Astyanax mexicanus: one gene and its partner. The protein of the gene in region 1 interacts with the protein of each later gene in a pairwise test. Links are inferred from orthologs where the notes say so. Each region holds a gene or a part of one and is shown in the gene's direction. Other genes may lie near its edges. The genes, in order: fmr1 and nufip1.

Region 1 (11,765 bases):
GTGCATCTTTCACCCTACTGCTGGGTAATTTGCCACAGCAAGAGAGCAAGTGTGTGAGAGAGAAAGAAAGAAAGAAAGAGAGAGCTTGCAAGTGTGTTTGTGTGTGTGTGTGTGTGTGTGTGTGTGTGAGAGAGAGAGCAAAAAAAGAAAAGCAAGTGTGTGAGACAGAGAAAGTAAAAGAAAGTGAAAGCAAAACAGCAAATAAAACAGAGAAGGAGCTTACAAGTGTGTGTGTGTGAGAGATGGAGTAAGTGAGTGAGTGAGAGAGAGAGAGCAAGGAAGAGAGAAAGAGATAGCAAAATAGTAAATGAGTGAAAAAGAGCAAGAGTACAAAAGCAAGTGAAAGAGTGAGAGCAAGTGAGAGTGTGAGAGAGAAAGTAAGAGAGAGAGAGAGCAAAAAATAAAGAGCAAGTGAGTGTGTGAGAGAGAAAGTAAAAGAGAGAGAGAGCAAAAAATAAAGAGCAAGTGAGTGTGAGACAGAAAGAAAGAGAGAGAGCAATCGATCGTTTGAGAGAGAAAGAGAGAGAGCTTGCAAGTGTGTGTAAGAGAGAGAGAGAGAGAGGGAGAGAGCAAAAAAGCAAGTCAAAGAGATACACTTTAAAACATTACAGCCACATTAAGTTATGTGAATTCAATTGTTCTTTTCAATTCCAATTGCCATGACAATTTTAGGATATTGAAGTTCCTTTGTTTTAAATAAAAATAACTTAAAATAACAAATTGTCTTAACTTCCTGTGAGTTATTCAAATTTTCCCACGTTTATTCAACTTACGTTTTTAAGTTATTGGTTAAAAAAAGGAAAGTAGGAAGATTTGAAAATGCAGAGAGGTAGAGTGATAGGCAGCAAGTTAGAACAGACTGGAGTACTTTTTACAACTTTAAAACCGGGGGGACATTGGGCTAAACACTTTTTAACCAACGCATAGCAATTAATAATAACAAGGAGCAAAAAAACTAAAGGGGATTACTTTCAGCTGCGGAGGGACACGCCTCTCTCCGGACTCCTTGAGGGCGGCGTGAGTCACCAACACTCTAAAAAGTAATTCTGTGTTTTAGTAAGGAGAACTAATATTATTAAGTTGAGTGAACTCACCGGCCAGTACAACTCAATTGTTTTCAACCGTAAAACTTAAAAATGTTTGTTGAGCGAATAAAAAAATGTGATTTCAACCAAATGTTAGCTCTTTCTACAGTGTTGGTTCATGCAGCTTTCCTATAGGCTCCTGGTACCATATATCTGCATATTGGGTGTGGCCTCTCCCTTACTTACCATCTTTGTGTTGTCTGTTGCCCAAAGCTACCTTGTCCTGGGCGTGCAGTATTATAATATATGTATTGATTGGCAGGCCTCAGTGTTGTAGGCTGTAAGAGCATATTAAATTAATTCTGTGTTCTTAGTGATCACAGTATGCTGGCTTTGAGCTACAGAGTGACTCTTTACCAAGTTTACTCTTATACTGCCCTAGCGTTATACTGTCAGTATTGGCAGTTAAATAATAATATATTAAATATGTTGAGAATACCCATGGTTAACTTAAAATGATAAGTTATGTGAATATTACTTAAGTTTTATTAACTTGAAAGTGTGTTAAAATAAAGATGATTTTTTAGTTTATTTGATTAAACAGATCATTTTTTAAAAAGGACCAATTAAACACTTAAGTTGTTTTAACTAAGTGCATCAAGTTGAAACAATAAGTAATGAGTATTTGAACAACTTGTTTAACTTAACATCTTGAGTTGATACAAAGGTTTTTATCAAGTTGAGCTTTTTAAGGCAGCAGGGGAACTTATGTTGCTGAGTTTAACCAACTTGAAATGTTTTACAGTGTAGAGGAATTGAGCGTTTGAGAGAGGGAGAGAGCTTGCAAGTGTTTGTGTATGTGTGTGAGAGAGAGAGAGAGAGAAAGAAAGAGAGAGAGCAAAAAAGCAAGTCAAAGAGATAGCAAGTGAGAGAGTATGAGAAAGAGAAATGAAGAGAAAGACCATGCATGTGAGAGAAAGACAGAGGGAGGGGGAGACAGCATGTGAGAAAAAGAGAGAGAGAGAATGTGTGTGTGTGTGTGTGTGTGTGTGCTGGGAACGTTATGAGAGAAACGTTTTAATAACGTTGTAATGCAAACTATTATTACATCACTCGTTTTGAGACATTCCTGAAACATTACTTCTGTAAGGTTGCAGGCTAACTTTACAGGAACCTGCTAAACATTCTTCCAACAGGTGTTACCCTACCTAACAGACTTAAACAAAGTGGTTAGCCATTACATTTATGCAAATAAGATGCAAATTTGAAATTTGACAACTATGCGCAAAATTGCTGATTTGCATTACATATCCAAACTACAGTAATGTACTCCAATTCTTGAACAGAACTGAACACAATGGTGTGGATCCTCATGGATCACTTATGTGCCTCTTATTGACTGTCTGCAACATTCACTTCCACCCAGATCTCAGTTCAGCTCCAGATTCTCTAATAATCTCCACAAAGTGACTTTACACCTCATTACACAATGATGGAATCGCCCATATTCCCCCCACAGTCCTGCTACTGTAGGCCATACCAGCACATCTGATTTAGAGATACACTGTAAACAAGGACACAAACAAGTCCTTATCCTTATCTCAATCACACTGCCCTTTACTACCGCCATTAGCCTGTGTGACGTTCACAGTGAGACAAAACACAACAGAGGAAATCTACATTCCTAAAGAAAATATATCCATTTAAACAGAACATCATCACTGCACACACATCATTTTACCAGCTTATATACAGTACCATGATTTTCTCACTTATTTTCTTACTTATGGCACCAATCTGAGTGTGTGTTCTAATCGAATAGCAAATGATTGATTCGGGTTAGAGTTTTTAACATAACAGGATTCCTATTAAAGGCTAAGGAGGTTGGGTCTAAACCCCATCATCTTCAGGAGTTTCTACACCTGACCGGCAGCATCACCACCTTGTACGGGAACTGTACTGCTCTTGAGCGAAAGAATCCCTGCAGAGGGTAGTGCGTACAGCTCAGTACATCACTGGGGTTCAGCTATCAAACCTTCTGGATTTATACACCAACCACCACCTGAGGAAATCTAGAATGATCATGAAGGACCCCTCCCATCCAAGCCACTCCCTGTTCTCACAGCTGCCAAGTAGAAGGAGGCTCAGAATCTTGAAGACCAGAACCAGTCGGTTCTGAAATAGCTTCTTCCCCCAGGTGACCAGGCTGCTGAACAGCCAGTAGAACAGTGTTCTGCCCAACCCACACCACTGCCATCACATACAAACTCACTGCACCCTGCATTTTACTTCACACTGCACCTATCCTTTCTGCACATTGTACTTCCCACACAACTCACTCGGTACCTGCACTTTACTCATAGTTACTAATACTAGTTACACCTGAATTATCTCCACACTTCCGCACACATACTTACAGTAAGCAATAATACATAAAAGGGCATTGTATTATTGCATAATACATAATACATAATATTGGCACTGCTGTGCTGCGGTCGTGCACAGCAGTGCTAATATTACACGTTATAGCACGAACCTTTAGTGTTTTATTGCGTTTATACCACAGATCCATTATCACTGTTTATTGAAAGATTGAAAATTAACAAGAACGAAAAAAATATATATGATCTGTTTGGTTTTAAAACTCTGAATGTGAATTAAAAGAGATCCATTGCTGCTCTGTTTGTAGCTGCGCTGATTGGCATGTAAGCACTGCATCACTGCTAGGTTACGTGTATGTGGCGGAGTAATACATGGAGAGCATTACCGGCTGATAACGGCACTCACAGAACGCCTCTCAGCCAATCACATTGCAGAGTCGAAACTAACTGTGGTATAATCTAGATTATTTGCACATGTATATGGCATTGTAATAACTATATATTCAGTTATATTTTACATTACATCTACAGTGCAAGTTATTTTGTACTGCATATTACATTAATTGTATATTTTCTATTTTATTTACTTATTCCACTCTATGTTGTAAATATTGTGCACCCAAGTTTTTCACTCACCTGTACCACTCTGATGTTACAATAAATCTGATTTGATTTAATAGTTGATGTAACTATTATAAGGTCTTGTTTTCCTTACCTGAAATAAACTCCTTTTACATTGACTTCAATTGAAAGTTAAGAAGGCTTTATCTGTCTCCTGTGAAACTGCACATTTGAAGACAAATGTTTTTCATTGGACAGTGATGGTGTGCACTATGCCACTTGGTAAATACATGTTTTTTTTTTTTAATAACTACAAGCCTATACCAAGCTAACAGAAAACTTACTGAAAATGTTTTGCATTATTTTTAAAAAGGTTCCAGGAAGGTTAGCTTTTAACATTACAGGCATAATGTTCCAGAAACGTTCTAAAAACATGTGAAATTATAATGGTTTGCATTAAAATGATATTAGAATGTTTCTCACATAATGTTCCCATCTAAATGAATACTAACATTATAAAAACATTAAAAGCAACATTCTCAAAACTTAACATCGATTAAAACAAGTGATGTTGCAGTAACCATACCATAATGTTTAAAATGTTAAATAAAAAATATATATATAAGAATAATAAGAATTCTAATAATATCTAGAAAACTTGACAGATTGAACTTTCTAAGAATGTTAACTGTAACATTCAGGAAACATTCTAATGACAAAAATAGATAGCTTGGAATCAGTCTTTACTTTAAAGCAGGAAATTAAAGGTAATTAGGACTATAGGTCATTTTAGATTAAGATGAGACCTTAAAGTATAACCCTATATTCAAATATTCAAAACACACCTTAAATTCAGTGCTTTTATCATTATTTGAAAAATTTCTGCATTGTAGATAATACTGTTAATACTAAATTCATCCTAACTATAAAGAAAAACATGGAATTATTTAGCAAACAAAAAGTATTAAACAAATCAGAATATGTTTTATCTGTTAGATTCTTCAAACAGTTTTCAAACCTCTTGCTGAGACGGTACTTTGCACATATTAAAATGTCCTGGAAGGACCTGGAATGGCTTTCAGTTAACAGCTGTGCTGAACTCATCCAGAATTAACTACTTAAAGAATGTCTTGCCTCTAAATGTGTTTGGGAGCATCAGTTGTAAAGTTGTTAAGAGGTAAATCGGTATACAGTGAATAGTTCTATTTGAGTAATGTTCTAATCCATTACTCCAATTGCAAGAATTACTAAATTAAGTAAAGATAAAATGACTTTAAGAAATAAAGGTCAGTCAATCCGAAAAATCTGAAGAAGTTTGAAAGTATCCTAAAGTGCAGTCACACGTCAAAAACATTATGATGAAACTGGCTCTCATCAGGACTGCCCCAGAAAACAAAGTAAGACCAAGAGTTTTCTCTGTTGCATGGGATAAATTCATCAGAGTTACCAGCCTTAAAAAACAGACAAGAGCCACCTAAATGCTTCACAGAGTATTTTGGTGTCTGTTTAGTACTTTTAAAGCTGATGTGCTTAAGTTTTTGGCCCTCTCTGGTGAGAATGGGTAATTGCAGCAAGCATGCGGAAGAATCAATGTAAACTGGGCAGGTGTGATGCAGTCTACTTTAAGAGCGGATGAATCCGATTCTAGGTTATGATACATATACATATATCAAGAACTAACAGAGTGAAAAAAAATGTAATTGTTGATAAGGACAAAAGTTGAGTCTCTGATAAATCACAGTATTGATATACACATTATTTGTAACTTAATACGTAATATGTGTTGTATGTAAACTCTACCAGAAGCACGATAAATAATCTTAGAAAGAATCTAGTAACGTTAATCTAGCAATCTTTTAAATAGTGATCCCCAGCCTTTGCAAAATTTTAGTCTGTGACTTGTCTTTAGATGTGAGAGGGTGTCAGACTAAAATCATCTAATGCAGGGGTGTCCAAACTACGGCCCGCGGGGTATTTTAGAAATAGAATGAAAGTTAGCCCGCTGTTAACCAGGTTTTTATAACGCTAGGTGTTTTAGCGCAGAAAAACGGGCCAAAGAGTATAAAAGCGGAGAGAGTGCGCATTTCTAGCGCAAAAAAACAGCCAAAGAGTCTAAAAGCGGCGAGAGTGAAGTTATAGCAGGAAAACGGGACAAGGAGTCTAAAAGCAGAGAGGGTGCATGTTTCTAGCTCAGAAAAACGGGCCAAAGAGTCTAAAAGCGGAGCGGGTGCGCGTTTCTAGCGCACAAAAACGGGCCAAAGAGTATAAAAGCGGAGAGAGTGCGCAGTTTTAGCACAGAAAAACGGGCCAAAGAGTATAAAAGCGGAGAGTGCGCAGTTTTAGCGCAGAAAAACGGGCCAAAGAGTCTAAAAGCGATGAGGTTGTGCAGTTTTAGCGCAGAAAATCCAGCCAAAGAGTCTAAAAGCGGAGAGGGTGCTCATTTCTAGTGCAAAAAAACGGGCCAAAGAGTCTAAAAGCAGAGAGAGTGCTTATTTCTAGTGCAGAAAAACGGACCAAAGAGTCTAAAAGCGACGAGGTTGTGCAGTTTTAGCGCAGAAAAACGGGGCAAAGAGTCTATAAGCGGAGAGAGTGAGCAGTTTTAGCGCAGAAAAAGGGCAAATGAGTGTAAAATTTGTTTAATTTTTTTTAATATTAAGAGACATCATGAAATTAAACATCAATTTGAAAAATCTTAGTTTACACAACACTGTCAAAGATAGATAAAGATAGTAAGTCAAGTAAAATGGTGTGTAAATGAAATAATCAGGAAAAAAAAGTGGTATATTTCATTATTTGTTTTAATACAGAGTCTGTGGCCCGTCACTTCAAATATACTTCTCCTTCTGGCCCCCATCAAAAAAAGTTTGGACACCCCTGATCTAATGTTAGTGTATGGACAGCATTAGTTAGGGTTTGATGAGGGGAGCGTGCTCGCGCTAACTGACTGACTGACTGAGTGAGGGACTGACGTAGTGCGCAGCTCCGGGTCACGTGAGTGTGTGTGGAGGTGCGGGAGGGAGGAGGGAGCTGTGTCTCCGTGTTTACATCGGAGCGGAGCGGCGACGAGCAGCAACAGCAGCCTCAGCAGCCTGAGCCTCGGCCTGGGGCTCCATGCACTGTTCCCCCTGCTCTCCAGCCTAACGCGACAGAAGCACCGAGCGCGCCGCCCTGCAGCAGAGGAGAAGCGGGAGGAGGCGCGACCACACGGCGGCGGCTGCAGCAGCCACAGACACCCAGAGCAGCAGCTACTGTTACACTGCGGGCAGCAGCAGCTAGCAGCGCCATGGACGAGCTGGCGGTGGAGGTCCGGGGGGCGAGCGGGGCTTTCTATAAGGTGAGTCTCCTGCGTTCCGTCCCCTCTATCTCTCTGCTTCCGAGTTTAGCTCCGTCTCCGGGACCCAGCGCGCCTCGCTGGGGGTCTGCGGGGCTCCGTGCGCGGCTGGAGCCGTCCAGGCTCGGTAGCTAGGCCCGGCCCGCCGGGGCAGTCTGTCTGTATGTAAGCTGTGTGAGAGTGCGTGTGTTTGCGGTACATTAAGCTCGGTTCAGCCGCTCATAACGCTGTATACCGGGGTCTGGTCTGCACTAGCTTTCAGTTAAACGCTGTTTTAAGCCTGTAATTCAGAGCCGGGCGCTACATTTGATTCACATTAAGCCTAAAATGGCTGGACGGCTGGTTTTAGGCCACTAGCTGCCATTGCTCGTAATGCTGGGAGCTGCAGGGGATGGTGGTTAGCTGGCTGTGCTACACACTGTGTGATTCTGGGACTCAGACTTCATAGTTAGCTGGTTTATCTGCTTCTGTTCATTATTAGGACTTTCAGTTTCAGTTAGGATTCTGTTTATCTGAATTGTAAAGACTGTTCACATCATTACAGCTAACTACATTTGCTATGCTGGTGTTTGAAGCCTATGTGTGGCATGTCCTGAGCGGCCAGCAGTCAGCACTGTGTCACCTGTTCATTTCTGTACAAGTTTGTGGCATTAGATCAGTGCTGATCCTGTTTGTCTGGCTGGCCACTGCTATTTTATATGTGCTAATATTACTTATTACTTCTGCTTATCTGTGCATACAGCATGGTAGTGTAAGAGAACTGGAGGCAAATGTTGTATTGTAAATGTGTACTTTTTTCTATATTCTCATCTGTATATGTCGCTGTACAATGAAAAACACGTATCTCCCTTTTTGTTTTTTTTAGTTTTCGACATAATTTAAACAAAAAAACAGTTCCTTTACAATTTATCAAAAATTCTTTGTGAACGGACCTCCAGAATTTCTTTGAAATGACCTCAAATGAACTCTTTTTACATTGACTTCCATTGAAAGTTAGGAAGGTTTTATCTTTCTCCTGTATAGTTGTTGTTTTGGAGATGCATGTTTTTCATTGGACAGTGAAAATATACTTTTATGTTTTCTATATTTAACACAATTATACAACATTTGATGCTGCATTTGACCTGTTCCATTTATGGTTCCGTATGTGCACGCTGTTCATTCAGTTTCTTTATTCATATCTTCAATCATTTGCACTTCTGCTGGTTAGATGTTAACTTCATTGAGCTTTTTTGGCTAGTACTTTTTTCAATGACAATGAAATTAAATTTAATCTTAATTGTGTTTAATGTATTAGATATAGTAGATGTTTTGTAGTTATATAGCAAGCTAAGTAAAGCAGCTCCAAAAAGAGGGGATACAGGAGAAGGATTTACTTAGTCAAATACTGATGCACTGAGTATTTGGCAACCAACATTATTGGGCTGAAAATGTAAAAAAAAAAAAAAAAAAGCACTTTTGGTGTTAGGCCAAATGAATAGGAAAGACTGAATTTGATTTGATCAGATTGTAACCAGCATGGAGTAATGTGCTGTAATGAGATAATTAAAAATGTTTTGCTCAACACAATTACAGGTCATAATAATATACTAATATAATTCTGTTATTTTAAAGTAAGATCTAAGAGACAGAAACCATTTGTAAGAATTCTCAGTTTCCCCATATTTCTGCTGGCTTTACTGCTTAGCTGTCGTCTAATGTTACACATAATTTACTAATGGAATACAATGTAATACTAATTAAAGCATAGGTCATTCAATTGTGTGGTGCTCTTTGTAAATGTGGCAAAGATGAAAAAAGTGCAAAATGATGAATACTGGGCAAAACGTGTTCCTTTTCATTTTGTGTGCTTTCTATAGATCACCTATTTTAGGTGGTTATATTGTTGTCACTTGTATGTGCTACACTACTCAGAATCTATTCAAATGCTGCAACCCAGTGCAAGCTTTAGAGTACATCTAAACCTGCATTTTGCATGCAGGCAATTTAAAAGTAGGGATGCCCTGATGTGTGAATTCTATATACACATTTATAAATTAGTCTAGCCTAGACACTTCAGTATAACTTCAGAAACAAAAACCTTGTATCTCAGATTTTGTCATATCAATATAATTGTTTGTACTCAAAATGAATTGTTCAAAAGGAATGAGCGGTCCAAAACATGACAAATGAACCAATAAAATGCTCAAAATTGAAATAAAATCTTTTTACATTGACTTTTAAAAAATAATGTATTTTTTCTTCTTCTCCTTCTGTTAATTCTGCCATCTTCATTAACATTGCAGTTCTCTAAAATCACTTCATTTCATGAATTTCAAGACTGGAATTTACATTATGTGTATATAACTGTTTGCTTATATTGAAAGTAGTTTCAGTGTAGAAACTGACTGAATGTTTCTCCTTGCAGGCCTTAATAAAGGATGTGCATGAAAACACAGTCACTGTGGCTTTTGAGAACAAGTGAGTATCCACTTATTTTGTGATGATATAAGTGATAATTTATTTTCATAGTAGGAAAAGTGGTTGCTGTGTATTTTGCTGTGCTGTTTGCTGAGTGGAGCTCAGTGGCACCTGAGGGTCTGTAGAAACACTGAGCAGTATTGATAAAATCAGTCTCATCAGTACCAGATGATATTTGAGTCAGTATGGTAAACTTAATGGACTCATTCTAAGTAAATGTGTTTTTTCTGTGCAAAAAGAACACAGGAACTTGTATTTGGTATTTGACTAAAGAATGTAACTATTCTGCTTCTTTAAAAATAAGCATTGTTATCTTAACCAAAGTCTCAGAATGTAAATCATACTGTATCATTATTTCATGGACATTATTATGCACTTTATAATGCACAGTATTTTGGGGGAAAATGCCATAGCAGTATAATTTTGACTTTGATATACAGCTCTGGGAAAAAAGAGGCCATTTCAGTTTCTGAATCGGTTTCTCTCATTTTGCTATTTATAGGTATATGTTTGAGTAAAATAAACATTGCTGTTTTATTCTATAAACTACAGACAACATTTCCCCCAAATTCCAAATAAAAATATTTTCATTTAGAGCATTTATTTGCAGAAAATGAGAAATGGCAAAAATAAAAAAAAAGATGCAGAGCTTTCAGATTTCAAATAATGCAAAGAAAACAACTTCATATTCATAAAGTTTTAATAGTTCAGAAATGAATATTTGGTGGAATAATCTTGGATTTTAATCACAGTTTTTATGCATCTTGTCATGTTCTCCTCCTCCTCCACCAGTCTTACACACTGCTTTTGGATAACTTTATGCCACTCCTAGTACAAAAATTCAAGCAGTTCAGCCTGGTTTAATGGCTTGTGATCATCCGTTCTCCTTTTTGATTACATTCCAGAGTTTTTCAATTTAGTAAAATCAAAGAAACTCATAATTTAAGTGGCCTCTTATTTTTTTTTCCAGAGCTGTATATGGCAATATTAAAATAACAGGAGTTTTCACCAGAAATCAATATTCCAATATGTCATGACATGAAATGTTTGTTAAAAAAAAAAAAAAAAAAAAATATATATATATATATATATATATATATATATATTGTTGTTGTATATGTGGTATTTTGTTTTTGAGCTATTGCACGTGCACATGATTACGGTGCTAAAACTGTTTCTTTTGCAACCCCTATGCAGATGATATACTGTATATCACCCATCTATTTAGGCCTAGTCTGCAGGCTTTAATAAAAAAAAATACAAATTAACCTGATTCTAATCTTTTCTAATAAAACCTTTCTGAATATTAATTCTTCTTTCTTTTTGCATCTTAGCTGGCAACCAGAACGACAGATTCCGTTCCACGATGTTCGCTTTCCTCCCCCTGTTGGGGTTCAGAAGGAGATCAGTGAAAGCGATGATGTTGAGGTGCGTACAGTCACAACATGTTCACACCACAGATACACATGTAACCAGCAAGAGCCTGGCAGAGCCTGTGTTGTCTACATAAACTGACTCAGATCTGTTGGTTTTCCTGAATGATCTGTAGGTGTACTCCAGGGCCAATGACAAGGAGCCATGTGGGTGGTGGGCAGCCAAAGTGCGCATGGTGAAAGGAGAGGTGAGCAATAGTAGGATGATTGAGTTGGATGTGTGGGGGGAGAAACGGCTGCTTTGAGCTATAAGCACTCTACCATCACTGTGCCTGCTTTAACAGAGCTTTGCTAAAGTGAGGCACCTTCAAAATAACAACTAGGAGTAGGAGGTTTCCTACATTAATCTGTTTTGCGTTTTGCGTTCAGAGTGACTAGCCATTTCCTGCGTCATGAGCTGACTGTGTCTAAATCTGATCTTGGATGGAGAACTTTTACATATTCATCTACATTAATACCATAATCATTTCTGATGAGCTGAAATGTATACCTTTGTATGCCATCAGTATTGGATACAACTCTAAATTCTTTATAATGGCAGATTCACAGAATAGTTTTTCAATGGAAGTTTCAA
Region 2 (12,062 bases), on another chromosome or scaffold:
GGAAGGGACACTGGGTTATGTATGGGTTTAGAAAGTAGAAAAAAGCATTTTCTAAAAAAAAAAAAATAATAATAATTAAAAAAAAAAAAAAATATATATATATATATATATATATATATATATATATATATATTTCCATGTTTCTATATAACAAACAACAGGTTAAACAAACAAATATCCATTTATTTCATGCTCCCTTACTCTTTCGTGCTGTTCTAAAAATATAAATTCATAAATTGACTAAACACCAAAAGCACACAGAATTGACAAAAATATATTATAATTATATCTATATTTTTGTTTTAATAATAGAGAATCCAAAGGTGGACCTGTTAATCAATGTTTGCTTATTTTGTCAATTATATTTTTATATTATATGCTATTATAAAGAAATTTTACTATATAAGTCCCTAAAATTAATGTAATTTTAAAGTGCTAAAGATCTTTTACCCAACTAATGAAGTGACCTAACTAAGTTGTGTTGACATATTTTATTGTTGTCTGTTTGTTTTCAATGATTGTTTTGTGTATTAGTTAATTTATGATTAATTCTGTTACATTTAATAGTGTAAATGTGTCATTGCTGTATCATAACTTAACAATGTCTTACAATTTTGTAAATTTAAAGTTTTCAAATAAAAATAAATAAATAAATGTTATTGTTAGGCAGTAAAGGCACTGGCTAGCATTGCTGCTAATGTGTGCTGACTTTCTGGTGAGCTGTTCCCTCCTGTCCCACCCCTAAACCCATACATCACCCAGTGCCCCTCCCAACTACTCTTTCCTTTTTTTTGCCTTTTTAGCCAGTCAGCTAAAATCAGGGGGTTTAGTTACTCTTTAATTGCTCCACATGAAGAACCCGGAACACACACTGCAGTGGGAATTCTCCTCTCTGAAGTTTCTGTGGTAACGCATGCAGCTGGTATGATACGTGTCAGCACTGCCGCAAAGCGTTCCACAGTGTCGCAAAGTGTTTGGGTATTTTGTTATGTGAGCAGTTAGTTAGTGTTAGCGGCTGTTTAATCATGATTCTGCTTTAACAGTTTAATTTAAACGTTAATCATGTAAAAAATGACGAGTATTATACAGGTAATTATGCTTACTTGTGCTGTGGCATTAATATCTCAGCGTTTTACAGGGTTTGAAGCTAGATAACTGGCGTTCCATCTTAACTAAGTTAGCTTAGAGAGCTGTCATAGATTATTTGTCATGCTGGGGCTAAATAATGCAGAAAAATAGCTCTTAATTAATAAAAATGTGAATATTTGCAAGAGTTTTCCCTCAAATTAATAAGCAGCAATGTCAGAGAGAGAGGAGAAGCTGGAGCTGGACTGTAGGAAGACTGTTCTTGTGACTGGAGGAGCTGGATTCATGTAAGTGCTGATTTAATTCATTTATTCATTAATTTATTTATTAATGGAATTAAATATTTAACCACATTTTTTTACATTACTTGATTGTTTTGCTTTCTCGAAATTGCAAAAAGTAAATCCTCCTAAATCCTAGTGCTCTTTCTCTGCTTCACACAGACTGTAGGTTATAGTACTGTATAGGAGAATTATCTATTAATCAGTTAACCTATATCTTAACTCTGGACCCTCGTGTTCACTCACCTGTACACCTATGTTAATATTTGATATGATTTTTTGATCTATTAGAGGGTCGCACCTCATCATCCTCCTGGCTGCAAGATATCCACTGTGGAGGATAATAAATATTGACTCAGTAAGTCTATTTAATTGTTAATTATACTGTCTGTGTGTAATTGAGTGTAAGTAATGTGTATAATTTGTGTGTATATTGTAATAATGTGTATAATATAATGTATATAATCTGTTTTAGTTGCAGTACTGCTCAAGCCTGAAGAACCTCGAATGTCTTAAGAACACAAGTACATACAAATTCATTCAGGTAAGATTTAATGTGAGAACTGTTATATAATATTCCTTCTTCACTCTGAGACAAAATCATAAACAGTAGTTTATATATCAATAATAAAAAAAATATATACCAACCAAAATAAATAAATGTGTCTTTTTTTGTGTTTTTCTTTTTCATCATGGCAATTTTGGGGCCCTCATGATATGCGTGTTTTTCTGTCTTTATTTAAGATACCACAATCAGATAATCAAGTCTCAATACTGCGTAATTCACATTTGTGATTTTGTGATGTATAATTTTCCCCAGACAATATTTGCTCAGTGAATATCAAAAGCAATATTTCTGTAATTAGGGTGTGCAATTTCATTTCAAGCACAATATTTCATGACACAGTAATATTGAGATTGATAATGAAAGTATTTTGTATTTTTATTGTTTACTTTAAAGCTTTAATGATATTTTGTGTTGTTTATATTCATTATTTATCTTGTTACATTATTATTATAATTTTATACAAAATCTGTACAAAGTCTTGGTAACGTACTGTTGTTGACAGAATAGACAAAGGTTTAATTATTATGATTATTATAAAAAAAATATTATGATATTATTTATTGGCCATATTGTCCAACTCCATTTTATACTTATCGTTACTGAGAGGGTTGAGTTTTTAAGTAAGCAGTGATTATAAAATATTATAATATTTCCTTTTTTCCTAATGCTGATTCATTTTGCCTCTCTTTCTTCACAGGGAGACATATGTGACCAATACTTCATTAATCATCTGTTTTCTACTGAGAATATCGACATTGTGTTTCACTGTGCTGCTCAGTCTCATGTTGGTGAGTAATTATTGATTTAGATATGAATCCTTCTGGTTGTTATAGGTAATATATCAGTGATGTTCAGTGAATCAGGCGAATGTTGTTCAGATTACTCTCCTCTCTTTTTTCTTTTCTATCTCAGATAACTCTTTCCTGTATCCGTCTCAGTTCATGCACGTGAACGCTGAAGGTACACATGTAGTGCTCAGAGCAGCGTTTGAAGCTGGAGTGGAAAGGTTTATATACGTGAGCACTGATGAGGTTTATGGAGACAGTCTGGACAAGGTCAGTGTCATTTTAGATGTTTAACCTTTTAGGTGTAGTTATACAAATCCCCTTTTACTCTGCAGTACAATTTATTCCTGTTAAGGCTCTCATAAAGAACACCTGGACACCCTGTTCACTCTCTACAGTTGATAACTCTCTGAGTTATCAACTGTAAATTCTGCAAGCTTTAAAATAGACATAAAAACTAGAGAACCATAAAAAAACAAAAGGTTTGGAGAACATTACATTTTTGATTTGTACTCAGGATAATATTGATTTTAAAATTATTTTTAAAAGTTTAGGAAATTATTTCAATGTTTTTTTTAATAATTTCTGTTACAATTAGAATTTATCAAACATGTAATGTTCACAGGAATTTGATGAGTTGAGTCCAAAAAAGCCAACCAATCCATATTCAGCATCAAAAGCTGTTGCTGAAAACATTGTGTTATCATACTGGGAAAAGCACAAGGTAATAAAATTATGATTTTGAATTATTGGTGATTTATTGTTTCCTTTTATTTTCAATTTGATAATATTCCTCATTTTGTAATTTTGCATTTTAGTTTCCCATTTTAATAACCAGGAGCAGTAATGTGTACGGACCAAGACAGTATCATGAAAAGGTATGCAGGTAGTTCTATCATTCTTCCACACCACCATTTTATTAAGTGGTGATATAAACGTTTTTTCCCTGCTTATTCTTCAGGTTATTCCAAAATTTTTGTTACTTCTACAACAGGACCAAAAGTGGTAAGCATATTTAGCTTTTAACAAACTTTACACCATTTATGTTGCGTTTTTTGTTTGTAATCAAATCCTGTTCTCTCTTTATAGCACTATTCAGGGAACAGGCCTTCAGTCCCGTCACTTTCTTCACGTTGATGATGTCACGGATGCTCTTCTCATCCTGATGGAACAAGGCGTCCTGGGAGAGATTTACAACATCGGTGCCAACTTTGAGATTCCCATCATCCACCTGGCTAGAGAGCTTGTACAGTTGGTAGGTTCCATTGTCAGCTTTTATTTTTGAAACATGTAAAATATATCATATAATGTACTGCAGAAACTTAAACAAAAATGCAATATTGGAGTAACAAGATAGGACCAGAAAATCACTATGCTAAAGAAATGGATACACCATCAAGGATTCCAGGAGTACAAATTTATTTATATTTAAATTTATATTGGTAGCATAAAAATATTTAAAAGTTTGAAACTAAAGTAGACCGTCATGTAAATTCATAGAAAATAGAGAAATATATAGGTTTTAGTCACAGATTAAATGTTATTCATCTCATTTAAAATGTCTATGTCTTTGGAGTGATTTTTATTTATTTATTTATTTAATTTTATTTATTTATTTAATTTTTTTTGAAGGTGAAGAATGCATCTACTGATGATCTGGATAACTGGCTGCTGTTTGTTGAGGACAGGTGTGTAAAAGAAAAGCTCTGGTAACCTACAGGTTTGGGCACTCCTTGACAAAATATATGATTTTTTAATTCATTATTATTGTTGTTTATTTATTCTAATTTATTCTAAAGCTCCATTTCCTGTAAGTAATACAAACTGTGGAGCAGTTGTATTGCACCACAATAAAATACAACAAAGTACTGCAGTTACACATTTTCACCAAACACTTAAGAACTGTTACTTTAAACAATGGTAAACCTTTTTTTAACAAAGGGTTTACATTCAGCAAATAAAGAGTAACTGTATTAAAATATACAGACATAGATTTTTTTAAAGAATAAAGAATTTCATGTAATTTTACCAGGTGTGCTCAAACTGCTGCATAACACTATATGTGGTATTTAAGTTTCTCTCTTTTTATATTATAATAACTTTTGCTTTTATAAGGTTGTTTTTCATATTATAGACCTGTCAGTGACTTAAGATACCCAATGATCTCAGACAAGATGCACAAACTTGGTTGGAAGCCTAAGGTTCCATGGAAGGAGGGAATCAGAAGGACAAGTAAGAAGCCTGAAAATTCTCATTACCTTTTTATTGATTTGATCTGAGAATGGGTAACAGGGCTTGTGCCTTGTTCTATTAGTTAACATAGGGGAGGGGGGGGGGTTCTAATATGTTCTAATGTATAATTTGTGTCTCCTGTCTTCCAGTTAAGTGGTATGAAGAGAATGCAGGCTACTGGCCAGTGGTCACAGAAAAGAAGCATCAAGGAGCTCCACTGACTGTGACCCATCACTCACTTCACAGTGAAACGGCAAAAAACACTTTCTCAAAAAGCTTTTTATCCACCAAGTTGTAGTTAAAATTGATTGAACATTTTGTACGTACTAAAGACTTATTTTACATTCAGACATTGTGTTTTTTTTAACTGGACAACAGCTGTGTTACAAATGACATCCACCATAAAAACAGCATAAATGGACAAAGTTTTACATAACATCAGTCATCTTTATATCAACTTTTGTTTTTTATAATATATATATGAAATGTTCATTTGTGAAACACACTGTAAGAAATCTAATTATCTGGGAACAGTAATGGACTGTTATCTGCTTCATATTTGAAGTGAGAGGAAATATAAGAAGATATAAATTCTGAGATTCAGCCAAATACCTCAATATTGTGTATTGAAACAATGCCATAAATCATGACATTCTATAGTTAGTAAATGGGAAGTCCTTGACTGAGTCTGAGTCATCCATGTCCAAGAGTGTTAAACAAACTGTTGTGAATTTACCAAAGACTAATAAAACCATAAATAAATACAATGTGCTCTCATTGTATGTTATCTCTGCTCACTGTTAGTCTGATGTGTACATGGCTGTTCATTAAATGTCTCTTTTTTAATCAAATCATTTACAATGACCTAAAGCCCAGCAATCCCTAAATTCTTGCATTGTTGCTACAATGTTGTACAATGCATGAAAACTTATTTCTTGTACAAAAAAAAAATAATAATGGGTTTTTCACATACAATTTTCTATTTTTGCTTTTAGCCTTGAACAGTCAGAAAATTAAACTAATAAAGGTTACACTGACAGTAAAACTTTTTATTTTTTTTATTTTAACCATTTTGTGTAGTACAGAAGAAATGGGTTTTCATATTTTTGTATGGGTTTTCATAATTTGTATTTCTGCATCTCACAATTAGAATTTCAGGAAAGTTTAAAAAAAAATGAATCTTATCTTAATTTTCTGATTTTTTCACCTTGTAACAAAAGTTATTGCAAAAATGGGAAAACTAAAAAAAAATAGAAAATTGAGAGATTTTTTTTTTTTTCAATTCTATTAGCAAAAAGCAGAAATGAAAAACTCGGAAAAACAAGTCAGTTTATTTCTCACCAAAGTAAATGGAAAAAAATAATAATGAAGTTTTATACCCAATGTTCTATTTTTGCATTTAGCTTCAAAAGGTTAGAAATTAAATTAATAAATGTTACACTGACCGTATTTTCGTACATGCGCATGCGCACTTTCCCCATATATACAGCATGTGCTCAGTTTTTAGCGCTACAGCGCCCTCTGCTGTTCGGAGCGGCTGTTGTGTATAATTTTACCCGGAAGTGACGCCGGGTTTGAGTAGCACGTGTGTAGGAAAGCGTGAAGAGGCAGAGCCATGTGAGAGTTCTGGTGAGTTTATACAGGAGTTTAGAGAGTTTTGAGAGGTTTATTTATTTGTGTAAAAGGTGACAGTGGTCATGTCGGAGTCTGGGAGTTACCCGCCCCCGGATTTCAGCTCTCCAGCTCAGGGAGCTCTCCTCAGACCACCGACCTTCCACTGGAGCCCCCAACAACAACCAGCAGCACCAGCATCAGGAGCAGCTCCAGACAAGTTCCAGGCTTCCAGAGACTGGAGCTGGAGCCCGACTGCTCCTCCAGCAGCTCCCGCAGCAGCAGATCCCTGGACCCCCTACCCCACTGCTCCCTACAGCGGGTACCAACATCCGTACTATCAGAACTACGGGCAGCATCGATATCCAGGTGAGAGACCATGAAAAACACAACAACACACAGGCCTGATATAATATAGCTATCTACAGTACAGTACAGTACAGTACAGTGGATGGTATGGTGCAGTGGATAACACCACTATCTGCCAGTGAGCTACCATATCATGCTGGAGATTGGGGTTTAATTCCTGTTCTGGGTGACTATACTGTGATACACCCATAAAAGCACTTGAGCTAGACTCCTAACATTACATTAGTCCACCTCTGTAATAAAAGAGCATATGGCATAAGTGGCTTTTTGTGAATACATAGGGTCATCACTAGCAGTGGTACAATATTATATATTATATAATATTGCAGTATATTGCATTGTTTCATTAGTATTGTATCAATACATGGCATCAAATATCTTTTATTAAAACATATAGACTCCCTTGTTGCCCTGTGGTTCACACTCCTAGTCATCAATGAATTTAATTGGCTGTAGAAACTTCAGGAAACAGCATATTTTCAAGTAACTATGTTTTAGATCATTATTACAGTACATTTTAAATAACAAAATATTTTTAATCAAAATCCAAGATGCTTAAAAATGATCATATCCTTTCCCTAACTTTAAACTTTAAACAAGCTTTTTATGTGTGTATGTGTTACCAGCTAATGTTTTATCAGCTCAGTCGGTGTGTGGCCTTTCAGACCTTTAACAGTTCTGTTAAAATCTTTACAGGTCCGCATCATAATAATAATCGATATGGACGGCAAGGCCACGGCCAAAACCAGTGGGGTAAAAAGGTAAGAAATCTTTTTCCTGTACATCTGATCATGTAAAATCATGTTTCTGTGTCATTTCTCTATCTATTTGTGAGCATGCTGTGAATAAATAACAAGTACAAGCTAGTAAACACACTGTGTTTTATTTATTTCAGCAGAAAAAGCAGAAAGAACCAGAGTTCAGTCACTTCTGTGACACTTGTGATCGAGGCTTTAAAAACAAAACCAAGTATGATGAGCACATTGCCCAGCATGTGAAGGTAAGGTAAATAGTTTGAATATTCTTAGTAATTCAAAGTAAATAGTAAAGTAAATTTATTTTGCTATTATCTATAGCACTGGCATTTCCATTGTGGCATTGTGACAGGCCTACATATTCTCTGTAAATTACATTTACATGAACTGCCCATTTTTATTTTTTCCAATTTCAAGAATAGATTGTTTTTTTTAAAGTAGAACCACAAAATGTGATGTATTATTATGTTCTGTTTTCAGTGCTCAGTTGAGGATTGCACATTTACTGCGCATGAGAAGCTCGTCCAAATCCATTGGAGAAATGTAAGTGCTCTTATTCAGTCTTGTTTGTACCTACAGATATAATTACAAATGAAAACTGCAATAAATAAAGAGGGTTCATTATAGCGGCACGGGTGGCACAAAAGGCATTTTCTCACCTGAATATCCAGACTAATGTCTGAGAATAATGACCCACCACCCAAATAGTAAAATTATTATTATTATTATTATTATTATTATTAATAGCTGCTCAGTGTTTTTTTTCTCTGCTGTGGGTTTCTCAGTATTAAAAAACAGGGTGAAAGCAGGAGAATAATAAAGTATAGAGGGAAACAGATACAGAACTACAGTCTGTAATTATAGAACTATGAAGTCTATGCTTGAAAGACTTTGAACAAGGAGAAACTAGGAGATGGTGTTAATGTTTTGGCTGAATTGGCAGAGTTTATGTGATTTAAATACCCTGTCATTGTTGTGTGTTGTATTTCAGAACCATGCTCCTGGAGCAAAGCGAATCAAATTGGACACTGCAGAGGAGATTGCAAAATGGAGAGAGGAAAGGAGAAAGTATGATCATTCCCTCCCTTTTTTCCGAAATTACTCTTACTACTTTTATTTAATTGTGGAGGTAAATGTTGTCAACCTGCAGTAATGATTCACCACACCGTAATATGTCCTACCTTACAGAAACTACCCAACCCTGAGCAACGTGGAGAGGAAAATTAAGGCCATGGAGGTTAAAGCACAAAGGGGAGATGTGCTGGAGACTGCCCAGTTTGGGTAATTACCTGTCAATTAACTATGTGGTATTTACACTCACATGCCAAAAGTCATGGGATAACAGTTCCGTATTTTCCGGACTATAAGGCGCATTTAAAATCCTTTTATTTTCCCAAATATCATCAGTGTAGCTTATAATCTGGTGCACCTTAGTTATAATATTCTACCTGTCAGGTAGAGGCAGCCTGTGAATACCTAAAGCTGTATAAGTTGTGAGGTGTTATCTTGTAAGTGAAGTAGAACACTGGGGTCACGAGGGTCACATGCAAACTGGGAGTGCAATGCTCATTAACTTGTGTGGAACATGGGGAAAGTCTTGGGGTATGGTACTCTTAGTTTCTGTCCTATGACGTCTTGGCATGGCAGTGTACTTTGGGAATGACGCTAGTAAATACCATTAGGCAGATGGAGCCACATGGCAGTTTTCGCGTTAGCTGATAAAAAGTGACCTGCTTATAACTATACATGTTTTTATTTATCGCTTCAGTAATTTTAAAAGTCGTGGTGGACACGTCCAGAATCAGAGCCGAGGTGCATATAGTGGCCAGCAACATGTACAACCAGCAAATGCGCAGCAGCAGCAGCAGCAGCAGCAGCCACCAGCTCCTGTACGTCCTCACCCAGATGGAGATCCTCTTGGAGTTCTGGCCAACAGTGACCCAGGTTAGCTCTCGAGACACTTCTTCCCAAAAGCATCATCCTTAGTCATTCTAAAATGACTTGTTCTTTTGGTGTCCTTTTTTCTTTTCTTTTTTTAGATTCTGAAAAAGAAGAACCTGTGAAGGAGACGAAAGCATCCATTTCTGTGGCGCCCAAAAATATGACTTCTGCTCTGGGATCACTGATGTCCAGCTATGGAGGAGACATGACCGAGAGCGAGGAAGAATCAGATAGTGAGTGAGCGATTAATGCCATTTCTAACATGTTAAAATTTTAGTGAGCACACCATTTGAAGCAAGGGTATTAATGTATAAAATAAAATAAAAAACCCTAACCTGTGTGTGGGAAGTGAGTCTCTCTCAGTGTGTGAACAAAATACCAGCACAATGCTGCTGCAGTGCTCACTGAACAGTGTATGCCCTTAGCTGTAGTCCCATTACTTTAGTCAGCAATACAAATGTTGATAAGCTCAGGTTGCAGTACAGTAGTTTCTGAAAGGCTGGTACTGAGAGAAAAGACATGACTTGAATCTGAGAGAGCAAATAGAGAGATGATGTCACCCTCTCTCTAACTAAATGTCGACTCTGTTTGCCTAACCGGTGTGGTTTCATTTTCTTTGAAGCTTATTCTATTATAGTTTTATATTAGTGGTTAATAGTGAATCAAGGACTGCACAAAAAAACATTATGGCATCAGTTTGCTTAAAATTTGTAGATTATCGTTGTTTCTTTTTTCTATATTGCATGTGTTCCTACAGTAACTTTCCTTTTTTCCTAGTAACTGATCTTTTTCTCCACTAATGTTCATTTTTCCCTATGTTTTTGTATTGGTTTGATAGATTTCTGTGTTGGTTGATGTTATTTTTTTTCTCAATTTTAGATTCCCCTCTCTTGAAAACAGCTCAGGCTTTGGAGGAGAACAAGGCCTTGCTGGCAGGTCTTTCTGTTCCTGCTCAGTACAGTGCACAGAGTCTTAACAAGGAACCACCAATCAGGCAATCTGAGACTGACCACCAAGCACCTTATCCTGTCTCAGACCAGAGAAACAGGTGGTGTGGCAGAGGCAAAAGGGGGCGTGGCCGTGGTCGTGGTAGGGGTGGAAGAGGTGGTAATAACCCCACCAGTGTTCCACAGAACCGTCGCCACACCCTTTTAGAGATGGTAAGGATAATCGACAAGCTAATATATATATAATGTATGTTTTAGTCTTAATTGATTTTATCAACAGGGTTCATACAGTCATGAAAAAACTTGGAAAAGTCATGGAATTTGAAAAATAAATAAATTAATAAAAATTACCAGGCCTGGATACGTTTTGAAAAAATAAAAAACTCTGTTCTGTTTATCAACGAAGAACATCTATTTTGAGCGAACAAATATGTCAGCTCAGAGTTAATTCAGTAATTTAGCCCTTTACAATGGAGCTCTCAAAATCTGACACACATTTTATTATTGAAGATTGTGTTGATTTTAGACCTACTATAATCAGTTTTCATTATAGTTTTAGTTGGATTTTGGTCTGCTCTGATGGTTTAAAAAATGTAATGATGGTCATGAAACTTTGCCATTAAGGCATGGAAAATCATGAAAACAATCATGAAAATGTATTGGTTAAAAAGAGTATGGACCCTGTATCAAGATGCTCTATTTGGTATGATCATAATTTGAACTGTTAAGTTTTATTGTTAATGTTATATATAATCTTTTTTTATTATTTCTTGCAGTTGTTGGCTTCCGACATTCGCCATGAAAGAAACGTTGTGCTTCAGTGCATTCGCTTTATTGTGCGTAAAGGATTCTTCGGACTCGCTTCTGATAACTGTAACCCAATGATGTCTGAAACTGCAGCAGTAAGTACGAATGGACTGATGACTGATAAAGAGGACTGTGGAAGTGGTGTAACAGAGGGAAGTGTCACTGAAACACAGCGTTCGCTTGTGGTGAATGGTTGTCAGGCAAGTCAGACACAGGAAAAGAAACTTTCCTTTGAGTCACCGGATAACCAGAGACATTACACAGAAGATCTAAAGCTCTGCAGTAGGGCGGACTCCAGTAGAGTTATTCGAAGCCTATCAGAAACCCATCAGCCAAAGGGACTTCCAGTTTTAAATGTGAATAGCTCACTAGCTGATAAATGTTCCAGCAAGCTACCACAGGATGAAGATCAATCCAGCAAGCCCACAGACATAGTAGATCTGTATGAGCACTGCCATACATCACAAAATGCACCACAGCAGGAGGATTTAAAGGTTTCAATGAGCTCGAGTTCTAATGAACACACATCCCAGCAGTCTATTCAAGAAAATATTACACTCCAAGGACTTAAGAACGAGTGTAATGTTTCATTGGCTGAAGAGGCAGCTGAGCACGATGAGGCAAAAATGCCTAAAGATGAAGAGAAGCATGTTCGCCCCATCATATCAATATACGATGAT

Evidence for each region.
Region 2: the proteins of fmr1 (region 1) and nufip1 interact in a two-hybrid assay, tested with the Homo sapiens proteins (2 studies listed by BioGRID). The link is inferred for Astyanax mexicanus from reciprocal best matches to the Homo sapiens genes FMR1 and NUFIP1.

Annotation. Positions count from the first base shown.
Region 1 is NC_064417.1:21,670,719-21,682,483, forward strand, and holds the start of fmr1 (synaptic functional regulator FMR1), read left to right. Parts: upstream 1-6,991; 5' UTR 6,992-7,250; coding exon 7,251-7,301; intron 7,302-9,705; coding exon 9,706-9,758; intron 9,759-11,092; coding exon 11,093-11,186; intron 11,187-11,307; coding exon 11,308-11,379; intron 11,380-11,765.
Region 2 is NC_064412.1:55,614,833-55,626,894, forward strand, and holds the start of nufip1 (nuclear fragile X mental retardation-interacting protein 1), read left to right. Parts: upstream 1-6,503; 5' UTR 6,504-6,649; coding exon 6,650-6,932; intron 6,933-7,628; coding exon 7,629-7,693; intron 7,694-7,827; coding exon 7,828-7,932; intron 7,933-8,167; coding exon 8,168-8,230; intron 8,231-8,678; coding exon 8,679-8,755; intron 8,756-8,875; coding exon 8,876-8,968; intron 8,969-9,455; coding exon 9,456-9,631; intron 9,632-9,726; coding exon 9,727-9,861; intron 9,862-10,507; coding exon 10,508-10,788; intron 10,789-11,351; coding exon 11,352-12,062. Other genes in the region: dTDP-D-glucose 4,6-dehydratase, read left to right, coding at 1,300-1,373, 1,659-1,725, 1,843-1,911, 2,633-2,723, 2,848-2,990, 3,346-3,444, 3,539-3,598, 3,682-3,725 and 4 more. UniProt on the Homo sapiens protein: Binds RNA.